Linked DNA regions of Rattus norvegicus. The protein of the gene in region 1 purifies or fractionates together with the protein of each later gene. This does not show direct contact. Links are inferred from orthologs where the notes say so. Each region holds a gene or a part of one and is shown on either strand. Other genes may lie near its edges.

Region 1 (5,804 bases):
CTGGCAACAGTCAGGTTTGCCTGGCATTATAAAAGGGGCTGCTTACCCCCTCCTCACTCTCTTGCCCTCTTCTCCTTTGTCCCTTCTCTCCCCACCACCCCCCTTCCTTCCACATGCTCATGGCCGGCTTTTACTCCTCTCCTCTTCTACTATTCCTCTTATTAAACCTTTCCACGTGGAACCATGTTGGTCTGTTGTGGTTTGACTCCAACACTAAGGGCAGGCCCTCCCGAACCTCGCAAAAACAGCGGAACAGTTTCCACACGTACCTTGGCGTTCGAGCTCTCTCGATAGTTCTGGCTCTGGCTCCGGTGGGCCATTGGAACTAGTGTTAATTTATCTCAGCAGCTCCACACTGGCCCCATCTACTTTCTGACCCACTGTCCATGAGCCATTCCAACCCGACTGTCAGGCTGCCCCGCCCTCACTCACTGCTCTCTTGGCTGGTTTCCATCACACCAGGTCAGGTATACACATCCCAACTCCGTGGTGGGCCCAGTACATCCTGCCACCATACACTTTCTTGAACTCAATTTAAATCATCGCATGAAAGAACACATCACACAATAACCTCTGGTCCAACTGATAAGATATAATTTGCCCATCTAGACGACACAAAATCCTATACATATCCATCCCTTAAGAATAGTCATTACAACCTGTAATATGTGCAGAGAGGAATCTTAACATCCGCCGCCATGCTCTCTCAGCTCCTTCCTCCTTGGCTCCAGCCTTCTCTGCCTCTCTAAAACTTTTCTCCTGTCCATCCTTCTCGCCCAATGACAGGCCTCTTTCTATCCATCCCAGCCTTCACCTGCATAATGACATCAACCTACACCTCACAACTCTCCTCTTCACAGAACTCACTCACTATATCCTTGTGTTATCTCCAAGGATGTGCCATCACATCAACTGTGATGCTTTCTTAAAAGATGTTTTTATTTGTGTCACACACGTGTGGGTACCTAAGGCGGCCAGGAGAGGGAGTCAGAGAGCGGCTGCAGGGCTACAGGAGCAGGAAGCACTGTTAAGCCCCTCTCCAGCCTCCAAAGTCTTCTTTTCTGTCAGGTTAGTGGTGACTTATCAGACAGACACCAAGAACAAAAGTCCTATGAACGCAAAGGAGCAAAGCACAAATCCAAACCAGTGCCCTGGCCATTCACAGTTTTACCAAAAGCAACGAGAGAGGATGAGGTTTCAGTATTTTATTCAAGTTTTATTTTAAGTGATGTTAATTACAGCATTTGAAGGGGAGGAGCTAATTCCACACAAAATGGAAGACTCTATAATGTACCCATTAAACTGCTAAAAATAGTGGTGCGGCTACAAGAGGAGTCCGTTGAGATCCCTAGTGTTGTCAGGGTGTGACCACAATCACCCGCCCAGCTCTGAGCCGGAGAACCTGGAAGCTATTTCATACTCTGGTGCAATGGCAAAAAAAAAGGAATTAAAAAAAAAAAACAGAAGAAAGGAAGAAAACCACACCACAACACAAGGAAGAATTAAGTCCTGAATGACTGGCTTCATCATGCCCACCCTCTCCACCCTAAAATGGCACAAAAGAAATTGCTAACTACACCCTAAAGACTACTTTTGGTGTAAAACAGGTAACTGATGGGCTAGGATGGGAACAGGGCACGATGGGAACAGGGCGTGACCATCCGATAAAAAAAAAAAAAAACCGTCCCTTTCACGTAGGTGTGTACATGCTTCCGAGCAGACAGGATCGGGACACCGGGGTTCGATGTTCAGGAAGTCACAATTTCATGTGCGGACTGGATACAGATTTACAAAGGGTCCACACGTTCCCAGCTTCCACTTGCAGCCTGGCATCTCTAGAGGAGCTCCTCCCCAGCCCACGCCTACAGCTAAAAAGGACCCTTCCTGGAATGGGGTTTCCGCTGTACCTCTGAAACGGTAAACACCTTAAAGCCGAGTCATCCTTAGCCTGGAGGTCTAACGTGGTATCAATCAACTCTCGCATCCCCAACATATGACATTAAAAGGTACACTAAACTCTGAAGGTAGCTATGCTGCAAAATAGTTTAAAATTAACGATTGTACAATATTCATTTATGCTTGAAATTCCAGTCCTAAACCAAGCTTGTGGCCACCCGCATTGACGTTCTTGCCATCCAGCAGGGCTGACAGTGTCAGTTTGATACCTGTAGGGAGATGAGGCAGAAGGTGTGGGAGGGCGGGGTGACAGTTGGAGGAAGAAAGGGGCAGGAGGGAGGGAAAGAGAAGAGAGGTTAACATCAAAGTCAGAGTCTGTTCCAGGCGGTGGCCAAGCAAGGTGAGCCTTCAAGCTTCTATAATACAACACGGCCTGCTGCCATCCTCAAAGCAACACATGTGAATGGCCACCGCTGGGACGCAGAGCAGAGAGACCCTGCTGGAATCCTTCCGAATCCCCGTTCCATCCTGCCTCCCCCAGCCCAGTTACAATGAGTGTGCCAACCACTACTGCCACCCTACAACAAGACTTGCTGGAGCAATACTGCATTAGAGGGAAACCCTATCCTGTAACAGCCTGAGTCTTACATTCATCTTCACACACAAACACACGCACGCACACGCGCGCGCGCACACACGCAAACAATAAACTTCTTCTTTTCCTGGGACTTAGATCGAACGGGCTGGTTTTCCCTAGAGGAACTTGATTCTCATATCACATAATCAGCCTTGAGCATTTCTGCAGTCCTCACACTCTAGTGAGAGGCTGGGATAACTATGCATAGAAGACCCACTACCCACCATCCCTATGTCTATCGTGAGGATGACTGACAGGATAATTTTGACTCCAGCCTGGGAGTAGCTATCGGGTATCATATACTGGGAAAAGGAAAGGAGAAAAGAACCAGAGATGTGATGTGAGTTAGCCCAGGCCGTTTCCTTCTGTACTCTTTTCTCGGACTCTCTTCTTACAATGGCTTCCCAACTCCCTTAATAAACATTTAATTATTATAAAAGCCTATATATACTCGTTTATAATGTCCCTCAGCAATAGCGGAAATCAGCAAAACGCAACAGAAAACTAGCTTTGCACGTGGGTAACACCTACCTGGTTTTAGGGTCTGAGTGTACCCTAAGCCAATTAGACTGGAGTTGTTCACTTTGGCCTGAAGGAAAAAAGAAAAAAAGTCCAAGTGAAGATGGTGTCCCTCACCCGTGAAAACTGTCCTACAGGTCTACCTCCAAAATTGGTGACAGCATCTTAGGCAAATCCCAGGTATCAGAACCGTGTTCACGCCTGCTCATGGCCATCTTGGAAAACTCAACATGAGATGTGTCACGTGCAGGTGCGTGTGCTTTCCCCGCTTCTGTGAACTTCCAAGGACAGAGCAAGGAGAAGAAGGGCTCTCGGCAGGCCGTGTCCCTTCTAACTGTTCCTTTATGCTCCCAACATCCCAACAAGGAGAGCCCTTGTTTTACAAGCATGCCTCATGTTGAGGGAGCCGAGTCCAGTTCCCAGGTCAGGAGACTTACAATAGACTCTGTGAGTTACACCAACCCACAGAAACATTCTGCAACACAACACTTCCTCATTCCACCTCAAAAAGGTGGTCACCTACAGTGCGATGACAGAAGCCAGTTGAGTGGGTTCACCATAAAACCTGTGCCATTCTGGGCCCCTGACGGGTGCCATGGGGTTAGCAAGACAAGATGCCACCTGGTTTTGTCTTTTTTTAGAGATGTGATCTCACTATAGAGCCCAAAGCTGCCTCTGAACTCTTGCAAGAATGGCCTTCTGATCCTTCTGCCTGCTGCTTCTGCAGTTCTGGGGACCAAGCACAGGCTTTCTGCATGTTAAGCCAGCATTCTACCAAACGAGCTACATCGAAGCCTTGATTCTGTTTGTTTGGGGTTTTCCCCAGTAATGCGGCTGAAGTCAGGCCCTCGAACGTGCTGGGCCAGGGCTCTACCACTGGAATACACTGACCGTTGATGTCTTCATGTGGACTGTAGGGACTGAAAACCAAATGAAATGAGGGGAAGAATAAAACACCCCTTACAGTTGTCATGATGGGACAGATGAATTAGAGAGGCTCGAGAATGGAGCGGTCTGCTTACAGCCAGGCCCAGCACATACTTGCTGGGTGCTGGGTGCCTTTAAGGAAGTTACCCAATTAACCTCCATAAGTGCTCAGCTCCTCCAGTGTAAAAATACTGAAGATATAAAAGCCACGCAGGTATCAAGTGGGATTGACACGCCTTTAATCCCAACACTTGAGAGGCAGAGGCAGGTGGATCTCTTGAATTTGAGGCCTTCCTGGTCTACAAAGTGAGTTCTAGGACACTCAAGGCTACACAGAGAAACCTTGTCTCCAAAAAAATACAAAAATAAAAACAAAAGCCATGGAGGCCAATTGTGGCACATTCCTTTAATCCCAGCACTGGTAAGGCAGAGGCAGGCAGATCTCTATGAGAACTATAGAGTAAGTTCCAGACCACCAAGGCCATATAGTGAGGCTTCTTCTAAAAAGTATCTGTCTCAAGGATCTCAATTAAATACAAGCATCATCTCAGGGTTGGGGATTTAGCTCAGTGGTAGAGCGCTTGCCTAGCAAGCACAAGGCCCTGGGTTCAGTCCCCAGCTCCGAAAAAAAGAAAAAAGAGGAAAAAAAAAATACAAGAATCATCTCTGCCCAGTGAGAAAACATCTAAGCAGAAGCACAGAAATCTCTCAATCGTGTGAGACGAGTGATTCTCAGGTACCCACCGAAAAGCAGGCATCAGGGTCGACCTGATACTTGGCTGCTATTCCAAAGCGAGTGTTACTGTTTCCTGCGGTCCAGGCGAGATTGACAGCAGTCTCCAACTTCTTGTTCACCTTCTGGTAAATGGAGCCACCAAACTCCGTCCCATCATTCCTGCAAGTAAGCATAGCCAACAGATGTCCAGCTGTCTGGGGAGGTGGGATGAAACCCAGGTCGAGTCAACAACACTAACAAGAAAGCAAGGTTGCCAGAAATAGACTAATCAAGCCAGGGTATGGAGACCAAATTTCACAGAACAAGTGCTGAAATACAGGAAGCCCTACCAGAGCAGCACAGAACCTCAAGACAGCTTCTAAATACTCTTTAAAAATGGAGGTAGATGGAGAAGTGGCTCAGTTAAAAGTACTTGCTGCTCTTCCAAAGGACCTGAGTTCAGCTCCCAGCACCCACATCAGGCAGTTTACAACTGCCCATAACTCAGCTGTAGAGCATCCAGCCCACCGTGGGCACCTGCACACACATCTTACACACACATCTTACACACACATCTTACACACACATCTTACACACACACACACACACACACACACACACGAATAAAAATAAACCCGTTTTGGTCCTCCCCCCAATGAAAGCAGAAACTAGAAAATTAGAATCCTACAGAGCTCTCTGCTGTCTACTGTCTGTGTCTTCACTTTTGTAAAAGATGGTAGGAGGGAAGCCAAGGAGAAGAGACACAGCCAGAACAATCAAGAAAGTTCTGCGCCACATTCCTTGGAAGGCAAGTGCTGTGGTTTGGATGAGGAAGAACAGGACAGACTCCGTGCAAGTTGTTATATAACCTCCACACATACACTGGAGCATAGTAGTTCACAGACAGACAGACAGACAAAGACACACACACACACACACACACACACACACACACACAAAATACATGTTTTTAATTGTATTAATGGAAATAATATTGGTTTAGACCAATACCATTATTGGTCTGAGTTTAAGAAGCCATTTATTTAGCTCCCTCTAGTGGAAAGAACAGATTAGTATTTCATGGAATTAACCCCGAATGGGGAGGGCCTG
Region 2 (5,470 bases), on another chromosome or scaffold:
TACTGATTCTAATTGTGTTCGCATGTTCAGATACACTAGATTCCAGTAAATCTCTTAAGCCATTAATGTTCTTAAAATAGCTCAGCTATTTCCCTTATCTTACTACTTGCTCTTAGCTTGCTTGCTAATGATGCAAAAATAAGATCAAGGCAGTCGCAGCCTCCTGGAATACTCACACAGTTTGCGGTGGCTGGGGTTTTACTGTGTTGCTCAAGTGCTACTGAGTCTCAGAAGAACCCCGAGTTACAGATGTTCAGGTGCTGGGGGAGGTTCCCGGGCCCCAACTGTCCTCTGTGATGCTGCTGGCCTGTGGGAGTTCTCTATATAAACCAGCCATCAGCGAATGAGGCTCAGACCTAACTGAGGCAGCTTGTCTTGTGAGGCTGGGCTTTATTCTTTGAAGGCTGTTTGCTTGGCGTTGGGTTGGAGTTGGTTTAAGAAAGATGTTGTTTAGCTTGGGAGTCACTTGAAGATGGCTGCCTCATGTTTTGCCTTACCTCAGAGTGGGCATTTTCTATCTTTCTTGACCAAAAAAAAAAGAAAAAGAAAAAATTATCAAGAGATATTTGAAGGGTAGCCAAGCTGTGAAAATAATAGCATTATTTTCCCTCCCTGTCAAGGTTTCTGAAAGTAATTTTATTCTGCTTGATAGTTGGCTTTTCTTTTCTTTTCTCTTTTCTTTTTTTTTTTCTTTTTTTCAGAGCTGGGGACCGAACCCAGGGCCTTGTGCTTGCTAGGCATGCTAGGCAAGCGCTCTACCACTGAGCTAAATCCCCAACCCCTCTTTCCTCTTTTCAAATGGTCATCACCACCACCCCTCTCTCACAGGGCTGCTGTCCTTGTGAGAGTCTGTTTGCTCACCTTCGTGTCCAGGCTCACATGTCAGAGGTCTAAAATGCTCACCTGTATAAAAGTTGTTTACAGGAGAAATGCTTGGTAGGTCAAAACCGTTGTGTGGTCATGTGAGTAAGTGGATCATAGAAAACATAGGTGTGTGTCCCAAAGCAAGGACAGTGACTTAACACCACCTGATTATGCTACTGCCAGGGCTGGGAAGAGCGTCCAGCTCACAGGCTTCAAGCCCAGATGATTTTGCACATTGCACATACATGGAGCCTTTGACAGCTTGTGCCTGGCTCTGAGCCCTAAGCCATGTCGCTTTAAAGGCTGAGGCAATGAGTGATATAGAAATCTTTGAGGTTGGTTGGTTTGTTTGTTTGTTTGTTTTGTTTTTTCCCATACTTACAGCCACAAGTGTTGAGTTGTGAATAGTGTTGAGTGCGAGGCTTTGTAGCAGCCCAGGGGAAGGTAAAGGCAGACTCCAGTAGGTAGGGAAGTCGGTGATGTCTCCAGGCACCCTTTCACCTGAAGCTGATATGGATGGGGAAGGAGGTTAGCCCGGAGCCTGGGGCACTGTGAACAGCCTGGTCTGGGTCACTTCTCACCTCTTTTCTCTGCCACTGACAAGATTGGAGTACATCCAGAGTTTACTATTTCCCAGCGATGCCGTATGAATCAGCCTTCCCAGGTCATTAACAGACGATGTCTCTGTTCCCAGCGTGCAGTAGCGGGAGATGCTTCCGAGTCGGCGCTCTTAAAGTGCATCGAGGTCTGCTGTGGCTCCGTGATGGAGATGAGGGAGAAGTACACCAAGATAGTGGAGATTCCTTTCAACTCCACCAACAAGTACCAGGTGTGCCAGTCAGGGACACTCACACGGGGCATGGGGGACCCTGGGGCTCGTGAGCTAGAGGAAGAGACATTCTTCACGCAGTCAGGCTCCCCAAGCTCTGTCTGACTTTAAATTTGGGAGTCTCCTTTTATTTGAATATCAGTAGGAGAAATGAAACCTCTCTCAGAATGTTGTTGGGGACCTTGGAGTTGGGGGCTGGAAGAGGAGGGAGATTGTACCAAGCGTTCTCCAGGAGTTCATGATTGTCTCTGTGAGCATGTGTATGTTAGATGTGTCTTCACTTAGGCATACAGTAAATGCCTGCTTCTGTAAAATCAGCATGTACCGTGAGAAAGGAGCTCTTAGTTTGCTTTATATTATAGCAGGTACTAACTGGTTAGGAAAGCCGACCTTCCTCCCTGAGCTGCCTCGTGCAGCCTCCTAATGCTTGCGTCTGAATGATCTTCACAGCTCTCCATTCACAAGAACCCAAACGCATCGGAGCCTAAGCACCTGCTAGTGATGAAGGGCGCCCCAGAAAGGATCCTGGACCGATGCAGTTCTATCCTCCTCCACGGCAAGGAGCAGCCCCTGGACGAAGAGCTGAAGGACGCCTTTCAGAATGCCTACCTAGAGCTGGGGGGCCTTGGAGAGCGTGTGCTAGGTATGCAGGTGACCGCCATGGCTCCTGAGCACAGCTGTGTCAAGCACAGCGATCTCCGTGTTCTCGGGGTGTTCCTCTTAACGTAGGGGAGCCACGCTGCTGATTACATTGTTTAAAGCAGAGGTGTGGAGAAATAATGGTTATATTGGCAAACAGTGTTGTTGCTTGGCTGACCTGTGGCTTCACGATACTCAGTTCTATATGGCAGGAGGTGGGGGTGGCAGTTTATTGTCTAACCTCATTGTTATGGCCATGGTCTGTAAGCTTAATTAAAATCTGTTTGTTTCTGGTGTGCCTAAGTAATACCTAAGATGACTGTTCTTGGCCCCTGGGAAGTGACCACTCCACTCATAAAACCAGCAGCAAGCCAGAAAGCCAGGATGCTGACTGTATCCTAACCGGGCAACTGCTGAGGTTGGCACAGAAGTTTATTTTGCCCTCTGTTCAAATTTATTTGGGCAACTGGCACTAACAATATTTTATATATTGGTAGATACAAATCCATTATTTGATTATTCCTGGTATCTAAAGGTACTTGAGAACCAATCACTTGGTCTAGTTCTCTGGGTCAGACACCTTTTCCTACAAAACTAACCTATAGGCAGTTTCTCCCACATGTCTGCCCAATAGAAAGACTACTGTCTTCTCTAAGGTCATTTTGCTTTTTTGCTTTTCCCAACCCCAAGTAAGAGGGATCTACTCTTCTTGGGACTGTCACACAGTGCTGAAGGCAAAGTCTGAATGTCTTATGTCTTAAAATGGACAGCCATGTGTTACAATCACAGCAGGATGTCTGTTCTGTGTCCGTCTTCAGAGACGCTCCTGTGAATGCCCATACAGGCGCTCAGTAACAATGACTAGATAGGAAGAAAGTCTCAGTTTTCCAGATAAGGTGCCTATGTATAATTCATCACACTGAGCAGCCTAACGGCATGGTGCTAAAGCTAGTGGTCCAATGGTCCCCACACTGAGTATTCTTGACCCTGGATAATTCTTTCTGAATTCTGTCCTCTGGCCATTTTTATTCTCTCACTGACTCTGTATTATTCCTAAACTTTGACATTTAACATGTAGCCCATATAGTCATGATGGTTTGAAGGACTGCAATTGACCCTCACAGCCTATGGCACTGGAAACCTAACAGGTACTTGCCCTCCCTTGTAGGTTTCTGCCACCTCCTTCTGCCTGACGAACAGTTTCCCGAAGGCTTCCAGTTTGACACTGATGAAGTCAATTTCCCCGTGGATAACCTCTGCTTCGTGGGTCTTATCTCCATGATTGACCCTCCTCGAGCTGCTGTCCCCGATGCTGTGGGCAAATGCCGCAGCGCTGGGATTAAGGTATGGCCTGTTTGTCTCCTTGGCTTTGTCACAGAGCTGTGGTTCCTGGTCCAAACACTGCCCTGGTCCATACAGTGCTCCCTCTCCCTCTCCCTCTCCCTCTCCCTCTCCCTCTCCCTCTCCCTCTCCCTCTCCCTCTTCCTCTCCCTCTCCCTCTCCCTCCCTTCCCCCCCCCCCCCAATAGTGTCTATCCATCTCTCATTTCCTAAGCCTTAGGTGTAACCCTGAAGGGTCAGATACTCTTGAAAGGTTGAGGTTTAAATTTGGAAATGCAGTGAATGGCATGCTACCCCATGTTTTGAGCTGGCTTCTCAGTGATTCGGTCTCTGTTCTTTTTCTGAGGGCCTCAGTACTGTGCTGCCTTTACCCCCGAGGCTGCTTCTGCTGTCCTCAGGCTCCTGAGGATCCTTCACTGAGAAGCTTGATATTAATTATCTTTTCAGTACTTTATTTCTTTTAAAGGATACTTTTCTAAATATTAAAAAAAAAAAAAAAGAAACCATGGGCTGGGGACATGCTGCGTGGTTAGGGACCTGAGTTTGGTTCCCGGCACCCACCTGACGAAGCTCACAACCACCTGTGGCTCAGACTCCAGGGGGCCTGATGCCTCCAAGGACTCCCGCACTTGGTGTGCTGTCCCCAACCCCTTGACACAAACTCATACACACATACTCTAAATAAAATCTATAGTCGTCCTCCAGAACCGGATGAGTGTGGAAGTGCTATCCAGCAGTATACACGGCGTCCTAGCCCAACCGATATTAGGTCTTCTTACTCTGATAGTTTTAAAAAAATGTGACTTTTATGTTTCTGTAAAAAGAGATACAACATAATGCATTGTGGATATAGTCATGGCATTGGGCTGTGTTTTTTTCTGAAATATGTGTTTATATTTTATGTGTTTATATTTTTGATGAGTTGATGCCTACCATTCAGTTTCCTGTTTCAGGTCATCATGGTCACAGGAGACCATCCAATCACAGCCAAAGCCATTGCTAAGGGGGTGGGCATTATCTCAGAAGGTAACGAGACCGTGGAAGACATTGCTGCCCGCCTCAACATTCCAGTGAACCAGGTGAACCCCAGGTACGGCAAGAAGCTGAAGTATAGTCCCTTCCTGGCTCTGGACTGATTTGTTTCTTGGCTTGCACCAAGGGAGTAGGGAGTGCTCCCACACTACTAGAGAGAGCGTGACCTTGTTGCTCATAGGGAGAGGTCACATTAATCCACATGGTGCTTGCTGTTCTGAGTTCTTACTGTGATGATGTAATAGGCAGGGAGGGAATCCCACTTGCTGAACTGGGAAGTAGAGGCTTAGGGATGTTCAGAGCGCCCGGAACTGGAGAGGTCAGGTGATAAATTGTCTGCACTAGCCACTGGGCTGTTCGTGCTTGGTCGGTTTCCAGCTCCACACTGAAGAAATAAAGGAGAAAAGACAATTGTTCAGGTAGCTCAGGCAACAAAGAAGGGAGAGTTCATCAAAGTAGAACGTGGGTAATAGAAGGCAGGTAAAGTGTTCGGGCGGTAATGGTGCTTGCCTGGTGACCTGAGGTTGATCCCTGGAACACATCTGAAAGTAGGAGAGAAAGGACCCCACTAAGATGTCCTCTGCCCTCCACATGTGTGGCTTGGCATGCATTTCTACATACACACATCAGCCACATGCATGCACACCCGAGCATACATGCTCATTAATTAAAAAGCATATGGTGGAGACTGATGTTTTGTTTTCATTCTGGTGTGGTCTGGGCTTTCTTGCCCTAATTTGGGTTTAGGAAAGGGTTTCTCTCAGCT
Region 3 (4,809 bases), on another chromosome or scaffold:
ATTTTGAGAAGTCTACTCTTTCCCCTAAGCCATGTCACAAGATATACCAGCTTGGCATTTGACAAAAAAGTCATGACTTAATCCTAGTATTAGTCTTATGTCATAGGAGACAAAGTCCCGGGAATCAGACAGAGTACCTTAACCATGTTTATAACCTGGACATCAAGGTGCTCTATGCTGATAAGGCAGTGATGGCCTGCTGGGTCAGTCATAACAAAGCTATGTTAGAGAGCAAAACAGCTTAGGACCAGGATGCTCACCCAGACAGAGAACAAGCTGTAACTTTATATGCCACTGACTCAATCAGTTTTAAACCCCGCTCCCTCCAAGGCTTAAGGACAGGGACCAATAAAAGTCAATTCCTGATAAAATAGCATAGCACTAAGACACAGTGTGTGGTCAGGTGCTAAAAGATGCCTCACTTAGACAACAAAAGTTAGGTTTTTTTGGAAGAAAAGATTCCCCTCGCCCAATCAAGGAAGGTGAAGAGTTGTCAGATGAAGAATGAACAATCAGAGAGGAACTGAAGCCCAGACAAGACCAGACACCTCTTGGAAGTGAAAAACAGGACGATGTGTTTAAAGACCTGGGAAGATCAAGGTTCAAGCAAGTAACTATACAATTCTATATGAGAAAGATTGCTGATGGCCAGAAAGTACAGGTTTACATGCAACAAAGTAGACTTTTTTGAAGGCTGAACCTGTAAAAAGGCAGCAAGGAAGTATCTTCCCCTTGGGGGCTACACACGGTCTTCTTTAAACCCTTTACAATATGGCCCCAGACCAAAGTTTCAGTAATCGCCATAATTCTGTACTGTCTTCTTTGTGTCCTCATAACAAAGATAGTATATTCTCTGAAAACAAGCACAGCCTCTACTACACCTTGAGGGTCTGGCATCTACAAATTACATCTTTCTTCAGACTAGCCCTGATGCCACTAGGCAGGCAGAGAGGAAGCCCGAGCCTATGACTCTGGGAACCGCTCAGGCAATGCAGCAAACCCCTATCCCCAGCAAACCCTTTTACAGTTTAAAAAATGGCATGAAGACAGGAAAGATTAGAGCGTTCTAGAAGGTAAAACTCAGAGAACTCAGTGGCCAGTCAGGAGGAGGAAAGCCTTAGCAAGCCAAAGGCAATCACCACATGCTTCCTCTGTTATAACAACCTGCCTGGGAAACTGCACGTGGTTGATGGCCAGTTTAATCTTTCAACAATCCAGACATTATCTGGCGGAAAACAGCATGCTATTTTATGGTACTCATTGGTATTTACCAATGAAGAATATTTAGTGACTTAAAATTCTCATCATCCAGTAATTAACAGAATTATATAAAATCAAACCTAAAACTAGTCTTTAACTGAGAAAGTTTGGCTTATAGATACAATTAGTTCCAAAACCAGACTTTCCAAATTGATACTGAATTATTCACGGCTTTCTCCCCAATACTTCAAGAAAGTCAACTGCATACAAAGGCCTCTCTCAAGATGGGAAATTAAATTTGAACATTTCAGCTCAAACCGTAAGGATAAAGCAGAGATGTCTTTTCCATCAGGATTGATGAAAGGACACAGACGCTGCAGCAAGTCTTTTCGGTTGTAACAGAACAGAAAAGTCAACGGCCCGAGGCTCGCTGACCCACGTGCGTGCGGAGAGAAGAGCGGCTTCACAGGCACCAGCTACACTACTTACAGAGCAGCAGCCCCGGAGATGATCTCTATCAGCTCCTTCGTGATGACGGCCTGGCGGGTGCGGTTGAAAGTCAGCGTCAATTTATCAATCATATCAGCTGCAAACAAAAGGGACAGACAGACACCACAATAAAACGTTTTGAAAAGAGTAATTTCTACTTAATTGAAGCAATTAAGAGTTGAAGTAAATTCTGCTGCAATTTGGACCCCCAAACTGGCCTTTCAGGTTGGTAGGAATTTAATCAAGTTATTTTTCACATTTTCCACAAGCCATGTTCATGGTGCTTGCAAATCCACTATCAAGTAAGATGGACACCTCAACAAAACACTCTTTTAACATTTTTGGTGCCACTCTGAGCAACACTCAGACAGACGCACGCACGCACTCTGGCAGAGATGCAGCTAGGCTCTAAGTGTTCCTGGAGCTTTGTCCAATCCCTTGTTTCTAGCATGGGCTAACGATGTTGTCTAGCATGGGCTTACAGGCGTTCTTGCTGGCGTTGTCCATGGCGGTCATCCTGGCACTCTGCTCACTGGTGGTGGACTCCTTCAGGGAGTAGTAGATGATGTTGGCCAGATTGTATTCCTGGTAATTCTGCAGCACGTCAGCATCAATGTCATCATAAATGCTCATGTTCTCTGTTAAAACAAGTCAAGAGTGTCCTTGAAGAATATAGATGAAGCTTATTCATATAGCTCATGACTAAGGATTCTAAATGATCTTGAGTTAAATGACTGTTCTAATAATTCAATTTCCATAGCATATCATCAGCAAAAACATGCATCAACAGGTATTTAGCTTTTAACCCCAAAGATAACTTTAAGCTGGCATTTAAAATAAGCACTAAATTTCAAAATTAGGGGGTTGAGAATTTAGCTCAATAAGGAGAGTGTTTGCCGAGCAAGTGCAATCCTCAGCTATCAGGGGAGTGTGTGGGGGCTTAGGTTTCATGGTTATAAAGCTCTCCAAATAGCAGCTAGCCAAGCATTTGTCACATATACATCATTCAATATTTTTTTAATTAAAAAAAAATCAAAGACAATCTAATAGTGTTATACAAAGGACTGTGCATTTGGAGACCAGCCTGAGCTAAACAGCAAGTACCCATGTCTAAGGAGGGGGAAAAGGGGTAATTATACACAACACCCCAAAGTAAACTCCACAGATGAAATATAATACACACAAGGTATGCTGTTTCTGGCAAAGGTGACTGTCCAATAATAAGATGACAGAGTTCAGTGGGCATAAAAATCAGTTACCATGAGCACTTTAAACCTCTAACATCTGACTGCACAGCAGTTGTTTGCAAACTGCATCAAGCCAATTTTTAACAAGGCTTTTCAGTCACTGGAAACAGGAACTTTCTTACTAACACTGGTCAGTAAAATGACAGATCAGAGCTCGGCTGTCTCCAGCTTGGTTAAGGTGTCCTGGAGGGCACAACAGTGCTGCTGCCTTTCTTATTTTATCTTATGAGTATTTTGCACACATGTATGCTGTGTACTATGTGTGTGACTAATGCCCAGAGTCAGAAGGGGGTTAGATGTGCAATGACAGACAGCTGGGAGCTGATATGTGAGGGCTGGGAACCGACCCCACGTCCTTTGTAAAAGCAGCAGGCGCTCTGAACTACAGAGACAGCATCCCAGTCGCCACACCTGCCGTGTGAAGGCGGCTTACCAGCAGCCACGACGGTACTGAAAGAGAAGATGGGCTTCTCTTCTGTCTTGTAGGAGATAACAGACTTGAACTGATTAAAGATAATAGAGCCTTCATCAAATTCATATCCCGAATTTAACAACTCCAAGGCAATGACCGATGCATCTCCAAAAGTAGGGGGCTTCCGCCCCACGTCTTTGAAGGACACCAAAAACTGATCAGAGTGAGTCCTGGAAAGCACACAATAGGTGAGTGAGATACTGCGTTGTGAGAAAAGAGCAAAAGAAAAAAGTTATCATAGGCCAGGGCTTTTTGTAGGGATGTGGGAGGTGGGTTAAGTTGTTCTATACATCATGACTTCCTTTAAGGGCACCTGCAAAAACCAAGATCTACAAGTCAGGCCCGTCTACTGTCCAGTCTTAGTGGACTAGTGGTCCTTTCTAGGATTACTAGGCTGTGACAACTCAGGATTCCTTCTTTAGCTTAATGCCAACAGCTCTGGTAAGCTTCACTGTATTCCACTCCTGGTATAGAGGAGAGCCCATGCACACACACAGTGTAAAAACCAACACACAGTATACACAAACACTCCAATGTATCACGAAAAACTTCTCTATCTCAGTCTTCCATTCGCTCAGGTTCCCACTCTTCTGAACATGGAACACATGTCTCATTTACCTATAAAGTATGCTCTTGATTTTTTCACCAATTCCAACAATCATAACTTCTTTCCCAGCTGCTGTGAGGGCAGCCATGTCATTCTTCATTTGTTTAGCCACGGAGGAATGAATAGCACCACAAAGGCCTCGATCCGAGGACACACCAATAATGAGGTGCTTCTTCTTGTCCTCAGGTCCCTTAATCTCAGCCTTCTCATACAGAGCTGAAAAACAAAGTGAGAAGACCGCTGAAATGACATTTATAGTGACTGTAGTGATAATCTCTAATTAAAAGGGAATGAGGTAATTTACACTTTGCATGTCTGTTGGATCCGTCCTGGTGAGCAGAATCAGGGGTGTTTGTGTGTTTATTCTATTACTACCAGGAAGGACACCACTGAGGGTCAATTGGTGGCCAGTTCTTTGTGTCTTAAATGACTTAAATGCCTAGATATAACCAAAAGCAGAACAGAACACAAAAGTACCTGCTTAGCTAGACATCAGATTTCTATACAATGTGAATTCCCAGCATAGATAGCTAAAATAATAAGCAAGCATTCCTGAGCCACTCACTTAATCCCGACACCATTAAGCTCTTGTTTTATAAGAAATGTTGATACTGAAGTTATGGGTGTGATTTACCTTTGGTATTACTCAATCAACTTTCCTGGTCTGGTTTTTAAGAGGTAAATGCAAAGAAGAAAATCAAGTTGGATTAAAATACCTGGATCTTACAAAATGAATTACCTGCATCAGAAAACAAGTCGAGGGGCTGAAGAACCATCAGACCCAGGGGTGGCCC
Region 4 (6,111 bases), on another chromosome or scaffold:
AAGAGGCTCTATGTGGCTCTGTCTTCTGCAGTACAGGACACAGCCTCCAAGCCTGAGGAGGAGCAGCCAAATGAAATTGCAGGAACTTTCCTGTGGTAGTAGGTCGTAGCCCATGAGATTTACACAAGGAGTCATTATTGCTAATTGAAAACTTCCCCAAACACTCCAAAACATGAAATACAGTTGACAGCCACTATGGAAACCTGGCTGGGCCATGCACACAGGAAGTAACATGAAGACCAATATTACCGTATTAAAACTTAAGAAAGAAAAGGGGATGCAGGTATAGATTACACTTGTATAACTTGCTTTTTGCATCCATTCATCTCCTAATCCAGCACTCAAACCATTCCACTCCACCAACAGTCCAATTTCTACTGAGTTTAACAGTGGAGACACCTCTGTGGAATCAAGACACCTTACTGCTAGGTGGCTCTTCCTCTCTGCAGGAAGAAGACCTCAGTGTGCTTTCCTCTTGGCTAAAGAAAGAAAGGTCACCACCCACTTCATTCCAGAAGGGCAACTGTCAGATCCCCAGGTGTCAATAGTTTTACATGTGAACCAGTGCACCAGAATAATTTTCACCAAATAAATAAGACCTTGCATTTTGGGGTGCATGATCTGTAATTCTGCACTGCAACTGTCTGACCCATGGTACAGCCATCAAACCTTGATATCAAAGCAGGAGTGTGGAGACAAATGAGAAACTCTGAGGAGTTTCTCACACTAGGAGCTTATTTATAAATGTATTAAGATTTAAATGTATTTGAGACTTTTTTTTTTCTTCCCTACGAGATTTCTTAATTTGGGGACTTAAGAGAGGGCCCAATTGTTGAGGGCACTTGCTGCCCTTTCAGAGATCATGGATTAGCTCCCAAAAACCATATATGGTAGCTCAACTCCAGTTCCAGGTGATTTGATATGACACCTTCTTCTGGCCTCTACAGACATCAGGCAAGTACATGGTATAAACACACACACACACACCCATACACACCCCCAACACACATGCATATACAGTATATGCAGTTACTCATGCACATACATAAAATTTCAAAAAATTAAGACTTCACAATTTTAACAGTTCAAATAATAAAATCTTGGACAAAGAGGACTGCATTCGTGATTAGTTCTCAAATCTCTAACCTAGGTCACCTAACCTGTGCTCATTATTTAACTTCAGCTCAAATGTTACCTCTGCAGTAAGAAGTTCCTCACAAGGTACACAAACTTTTTCACACAATAGTGAGAAGAAAAGCCTTCTAATAAAAAGGATCATTTAAAATCTAGTAGAGTGGGGAAGAAGGGTGGAGGACCAGAGAACGGGGCAGGCGAGGACAAGACCACTGTAATCCAACAGGGAAGGAAGAGAGTTGGTCAGGAAAGGCAGTTTTACCACAATCTAGGCAAAAGAAAAGGGGGCATTTTTAGCTGTGAGTAAACACAAGTGGCTTGTGGACTTTTGTATCTGGATGAGGGACAGAAGGATTGATGATGAGGTTAAAAACTCACAGATGTGTTCGGTTCCTGAAATTGGCTTTTTCTGATAATTATTATGTACTTACATTACTCAGCTAGGCTTGCTCAAAGCAAAAACACTTTACACTTTATAAATCGCATTATACTTGTTAGTACACTCTATGAAATAAAATGGTAGAAATTTTCAAGCAAAAGCACTAAGCAAAAAGGTAGCAGAATTGGAGTTAAAAATTGAAATTATTAATGTATAGTAGTCGAAGTATAGTCCATTTGGCTCCTGATTAACGTAGTTAACTATATAAGGTCTACCTTTGACTAGGTTCATCCTAACGCACAGAACCATACAGCAAACCTTTTCTACCCTCAAGAAGTACATAAGCAAATGCAGATGCCCACACAAACACCTATAAAATAAGTCTGGAATAAACATCAGGAAAATGATATAAATTGAGAACTATAATCCAGAAAATAAGCACTCACTTCTAACCAAGGTACCAGGAGAATACTGGTGTATATAAGAGGTCAAGAGATGTTGATTCTGCAGGCATTATGGAAGGCCTGGGCAAGGCTTTAATTAAAAGACTAACAAAATTTCATAGGGAAAGATAATGGCAGAAGGCAGGCCAACAGAGGGAGAAGGACCGACAAGACAAGCCTCAGAAGGCAACAGCAAGGTGATGCGGTAGGAAAGAATGCTAGAGAAGCAGGAGGTACTTCAGTTCACTGAGGATCAAACTAAAAAGGCAAAGGCATATGAAAGCAAGAGCTTGCCTCTTGACAAGGTAGTTCAGGGTAAACTGATGTTAAACTACACTAGATAAACTGGAGTGTGGACGAAGTGTTACCCTACAGCCCAGTGTCAAGCAGTCAAATGCCAGAACTAGGTCAGACCAGAATGCCAAGAAAGTGTCTTCCCTTCTAAGGCACGCACAGGGACTGTATTTGGATGGGGACGCATTTCCTGAGAACACAGCACCAGCTTGGTAGTATCTGTCCTCCCATTACTCCCTGCACATTACTTTGTCAATCCACAATAGATCCCTCATCAAAACAGGATACCTTGCAAATTCTCAATCTAAATTGTGCTGCTGCTCAGACAACCAAGTGCTTAGTTACTCCCGTTTCACAAACCCAGGCATATTGCAGTTAATCTGACATCTCCAATTTTGCTTTTTTATAACTCAGTGCTTTTATTTTAGATACCACTTTCCCAGTTTACAAAATATGGCTTTACCCAGTACCTTGCATAGAAAACTATCCAGTTTCCTTACACACACACACACACACTCACATCCCTTGCTGAAAAACTGTATTTACAGCAGGAAGTTTTTATTGGGCAGCAATCAACATACTTCCAGAGTTACTTATAGAACCTGCTACATCATAGGGCAACCTCAAACCTGCTTCTACATTTACAAAGTTGTGTAAGGGGTCTAGGTTGTGCAACAGTCAGCACTGAAATCAGACTCTGATGTATTAATAGTTTTAACACCTAAACAAGCTTTACGTTTATTATTAGATTCGAAATGAGGCCCAAATCGCAGGTATTCAAAGTATTTCATGAACAGCTTGCTTATTTGCTTGAGAAACTTATTAGGATGCTATTTTTAAGTGGGGACTGATTTTTTTTTCTTTTTGCTACAAATGTACACGAGGTCACTTGAAAATTAGCAGTTGTGATCTTGGACTTGACACAACTGAAAAAAAGAAAAAAATCAGTAGTCAGTCAGCATACCCACTGTATGCTCACACCCAGAGCACTGACCTGCCTTGCATTACTATCCAATCAAATAATCCCAGCATACACGTGGCAAAAGTCGCCGGAGTCTACAGTGCTTTAATGACCCCGAGAAGAATTGCCCTGCCACTGAATCATGTGACCTGACTTATTAGGACTTGGAGGTTGAGGATGTTTCAAAAAAAAAAAGATTTTTTTTTTCCTTTTTCAATTTTTTTTTCTCCTCAACAGGCTGTCCCACTTCAGGGTGCGCCTTGCCAGGGCCTAGACGGAAGCGTGCAGGTCGGGGAGGTGGGACCAGGGAGAAAAATCCGGACTGGGGCCTGTCACGCTCTAATTCGCTCGGCTTTTCTCTCACTCCCCGGGCCGCAAAGACAGTCGAGGCGGGGCCCCGGGGACAGCCATCCTGCTGTCACACTCTCCGGGAGTGGCAAACGGCTGCCGCTGGCTGGGCTGCAGCGGGCCCGGGCGAAGCGGGGAAGGCCCAGCCAGGCCGCGGCCGCTCGCAGCGCCCACGTCACCAGCGCCAGCACTGCGGAAATGGAGCGGCGGCCAGGGGACCGAGGGAGGAAGGGAGGCGCCGCGCCGCCCGACCCGTGCCTACCGGCGCCACCGCCGTTTGCCCCTCCTGCCCGCTCTGGGTCTCCCAAGCCCGCCGCCGGCCTCACCTGTGTCGCCGATGATGATGTACTTGAAGAGATAGGCGTACGCCATGGCCGCGGCCGCTCCGTGCCAGGCTCACGGCTCCTCCTCCCGCTGTGCGCCTCCTCCGCGCCCTCACCGGCGCCGCTCGGCCGCGAACCCGGGCCCCGCCCGCCGTCGGTCGCCGTCAGAGCCAGCAGCAAGGGCCGAGGGGCAGCGGGACGAACTGACAGCGCCGAGCGCGGATCGCAGCGGCCCAGCCCTTCGGAACAATAACAGCCGCGGCGCCTCCGCCCCGCCTCCGCGCCGACCCGGAAGTGCTGCCGCCGCCGGCGCCGCCGGAGGAGAGGGGAGGAGCCGCGGCCGCGCCCTCCGGTCGGAGTCCCGCCTACCCCGGAGCCCCGCCCACCAGGCTGGGTGTCCGGGAGTCGCGAGGAGCCCAAGCAGGCTAGGTTCAGCTCCGCTCTTTGTGTGTGTGTGTGTGTGTGTGTGTGTGTGTGCGCGTGTGCGTGTGTGTGTGTGTGTGTGTGTGTGTGTGTCTGTCTGTCTGTCTGTCTGTCTGTCTGTCTGTCTGTGTGTCTGTCTGTGTGTCTGTCTGTGTGCGTGCGTGCGTGCGTGCGTGTGTGTGTGTGTGTGTGTGTGTAGTGTTTGGGGAAACTAAATCGGGAGCTAGTAATTGTGGTATGCCCCTATAATGGAATACTATGCTGTTATGCTGTTCCTTAAAATATGTAAAACAAAAAAATCTGTATAAATATTGAAGTAGATATACCTTTGCATGCCATTTATCAGACCATAATTCTAAGTGCCGTGTTGTATATTCATGTAATGTATACGATATGTAGCTTAATCGTGTTCTGTATATGTATTGTATGAAACACTGAAATAAATACCTGATATTAAGTTACACGATGGAATTGATAAGAAGTGTATGTGTGTGTGCAGTTCAAAGTTTTTGCCTTTGACTCTATCCTGTATATATTGTTAGTGGTACCAGCAAGAAGCAGACTTAGTTCTTTAAAAGCCCAGGTTTTGAAGAAGGTGGAGGACAGAGTTTAACTATCTAAACAGTTTTCTGGAGAGATTGCATCTGAACCAGTTACCGGAAAGCCTGTATCAAAAGGACAAAGGTTATTACAAGCCTGCCATGCATTTATAATCTCAGCCCTCGGGAGATAGATAGAGGAAGGAGGGTCAGGAGTTCTAGATCATTCTTTACAACACTGAGGGGTCAAACAAGGGACCCTGTCTCAAAAAAATGTGTCCTGAAAATGAACAGATAAAGCACCTGCCAGGCAAGCCTGTCTTGAGTTCATTCTCTAGAAACCACAATGGAAGGACACACACACACACACACACACACACACACACCACACATCACACCACACACACCACACACACACACACCACACACATACCACACACACAAAACACACACACTACACACCACACACACACCACACACCACACACACAAAACACACACCACACACCACACACATACCACACACCACACACACACATCACACACCACACACACAAAACACACACACTACACACCACACACACAGACACACACACACACAACACATACACACATACACACCACACACCACACACACACCACACACACACACCACACACACACACACACACAAAACACACACACCACACACCGCACACACACACACACCACACACACACACACACACAAAACACACACACCACACACCGCACACACACACACACACACACCACACACACACACACCGCACACACACCACACACCACACACATACCACACACCACACACACACATCACACACCACACACACAAAACACACACACAAAACACACACACCACACACCGCACACACACACACACACACACCACACACACACACACCGCACACACACCACACACCACACACATACCACACACCACACACACACATCACACACCACACACACACTACACACCACACACACAGACACACACAACACATACACACATACACACCACATACCACACACACACCACACACCATACACCACACACACACACAAAACACACACACCACACACACACACACCACAACACACACACACAGCACACGTGTGCTCGGAATAAAGCGGAATGGTGCTCATGGATCTGTTCAGGGAATTTAAGAGTTGTGTAAGGAAGCTAATTTAGTGCTTCAAACCCTCTTCTGTTGGCAACAGAAAGAAACACTGCTGGAGGAGGAATGAGTG

The links.
Region 2: the proteins of Vdac1 (region 1) and Atp1a1 fractionate together in Homo sapiens (co-fractionation; 3 studies listed by BioGRID, with this or other methods). This does not show direct contact. The link is inferred for Rattus norvegicus from reciprocal best matches to the Homo sapiens genes VDAC1 and ATP1A1.
Region 3: the proteins of Vdac1 (region 1) and Atp5f1c fractionate together in Homo sapiens (co-fractionation; 3 studies listed by BioGRID, with this or other methods). This does not show direct contact. The link is inferred for Rattus norvegicus from reciprocal best matches to the Homo sapiens genes VDAC1 and ATP5F1C.
Region 4: the proteins of Vdac1 (region 1) and Rab2a purify together in Homo sapiens (affinity purification with mass spectrometry; 3 studies listed by BioGRID and IntAct, with this or other methods). This does not show direct contact. The link is inferred for Rattus norvegicus from reciprocal best matches to the Homo sapiens genes VDAC1 and RAB2A.

The regions. Positions count from the first base shown.
Region 1 is NC_086028.1:37,055,929-37,061,732, reverse strand, and holds the end of Vdac1 (voltage-dependent anion-selective channel protein 1), read right to left. Parts: intron 4,875-5,804; coding exon 4,724-4,874; intron 3,123-4,723; coding exon 3,065-3,122; coding exon of another isoform or gene 2,958-3,064; exon of another isoform or gene 2,166-2,957; coding exon 2,074-2,165; 3' UTR 1,191-2,073; downstream 1-1,190. UniProt on the Homo sapiens protein: Non-selective voltage-gated ion channel that mediates the transport of anions and cations through the mitochondrion outer membrane and plasma membrane.
Region 2 is NC_086020.1:191,715,638-191,721,107, reverse strand, and holds part of Atp1a1 (sodium/potassium-transporting ATPase subunit alpha-1 precursor), read left to right. Parts: intron 1-1,558; coding exon 1,559-1,693; intron 1,694-2,143; coding exon 2,144-2,336; intron 2,337-3,500; coding exon 3,501-3,676; intron 3,677-4,625; coding exon 4,626-4,762; intron 4,763-5,470. UniProt on the Homo sapiens protein: This is the catalytic component of the active enzyme, which catalyzes the hydrolysis of ATP coupled with the exchange of sodium and potassium ions across the plasma membrane.
Region 3 is NC_086035.1:73,349,653-73,354,461, reverse strand, and holds part of Atp5f1c (ATP synthase subunit gamma, mitochondrial), read right to left. Parts: intron 4,232-4,809; coding exon 4,027-4,231; intron 3,579-4,026; coding exon 3,370-3,578; intron 2,328-3,369; coding exon 2,172-2,327; intron 1,837-2,171; exon of another isoform or gene 1,787-1,836; coding exon 1,690-1,786; coding exon of another isoform or gene 1,686-1,689; exon of another isoform or gene 1-1,685.
Region 4 is NC_086023.1:26,471,446-26,477,556, reverse strand, and holds the start of Rab2a (ras-related protein Rab-2A), read right to left. Parts: upstream 4,134-6,111; 5' UTR 3,932-4,133; coding exon 3,886-3,931; intron 1-3,885.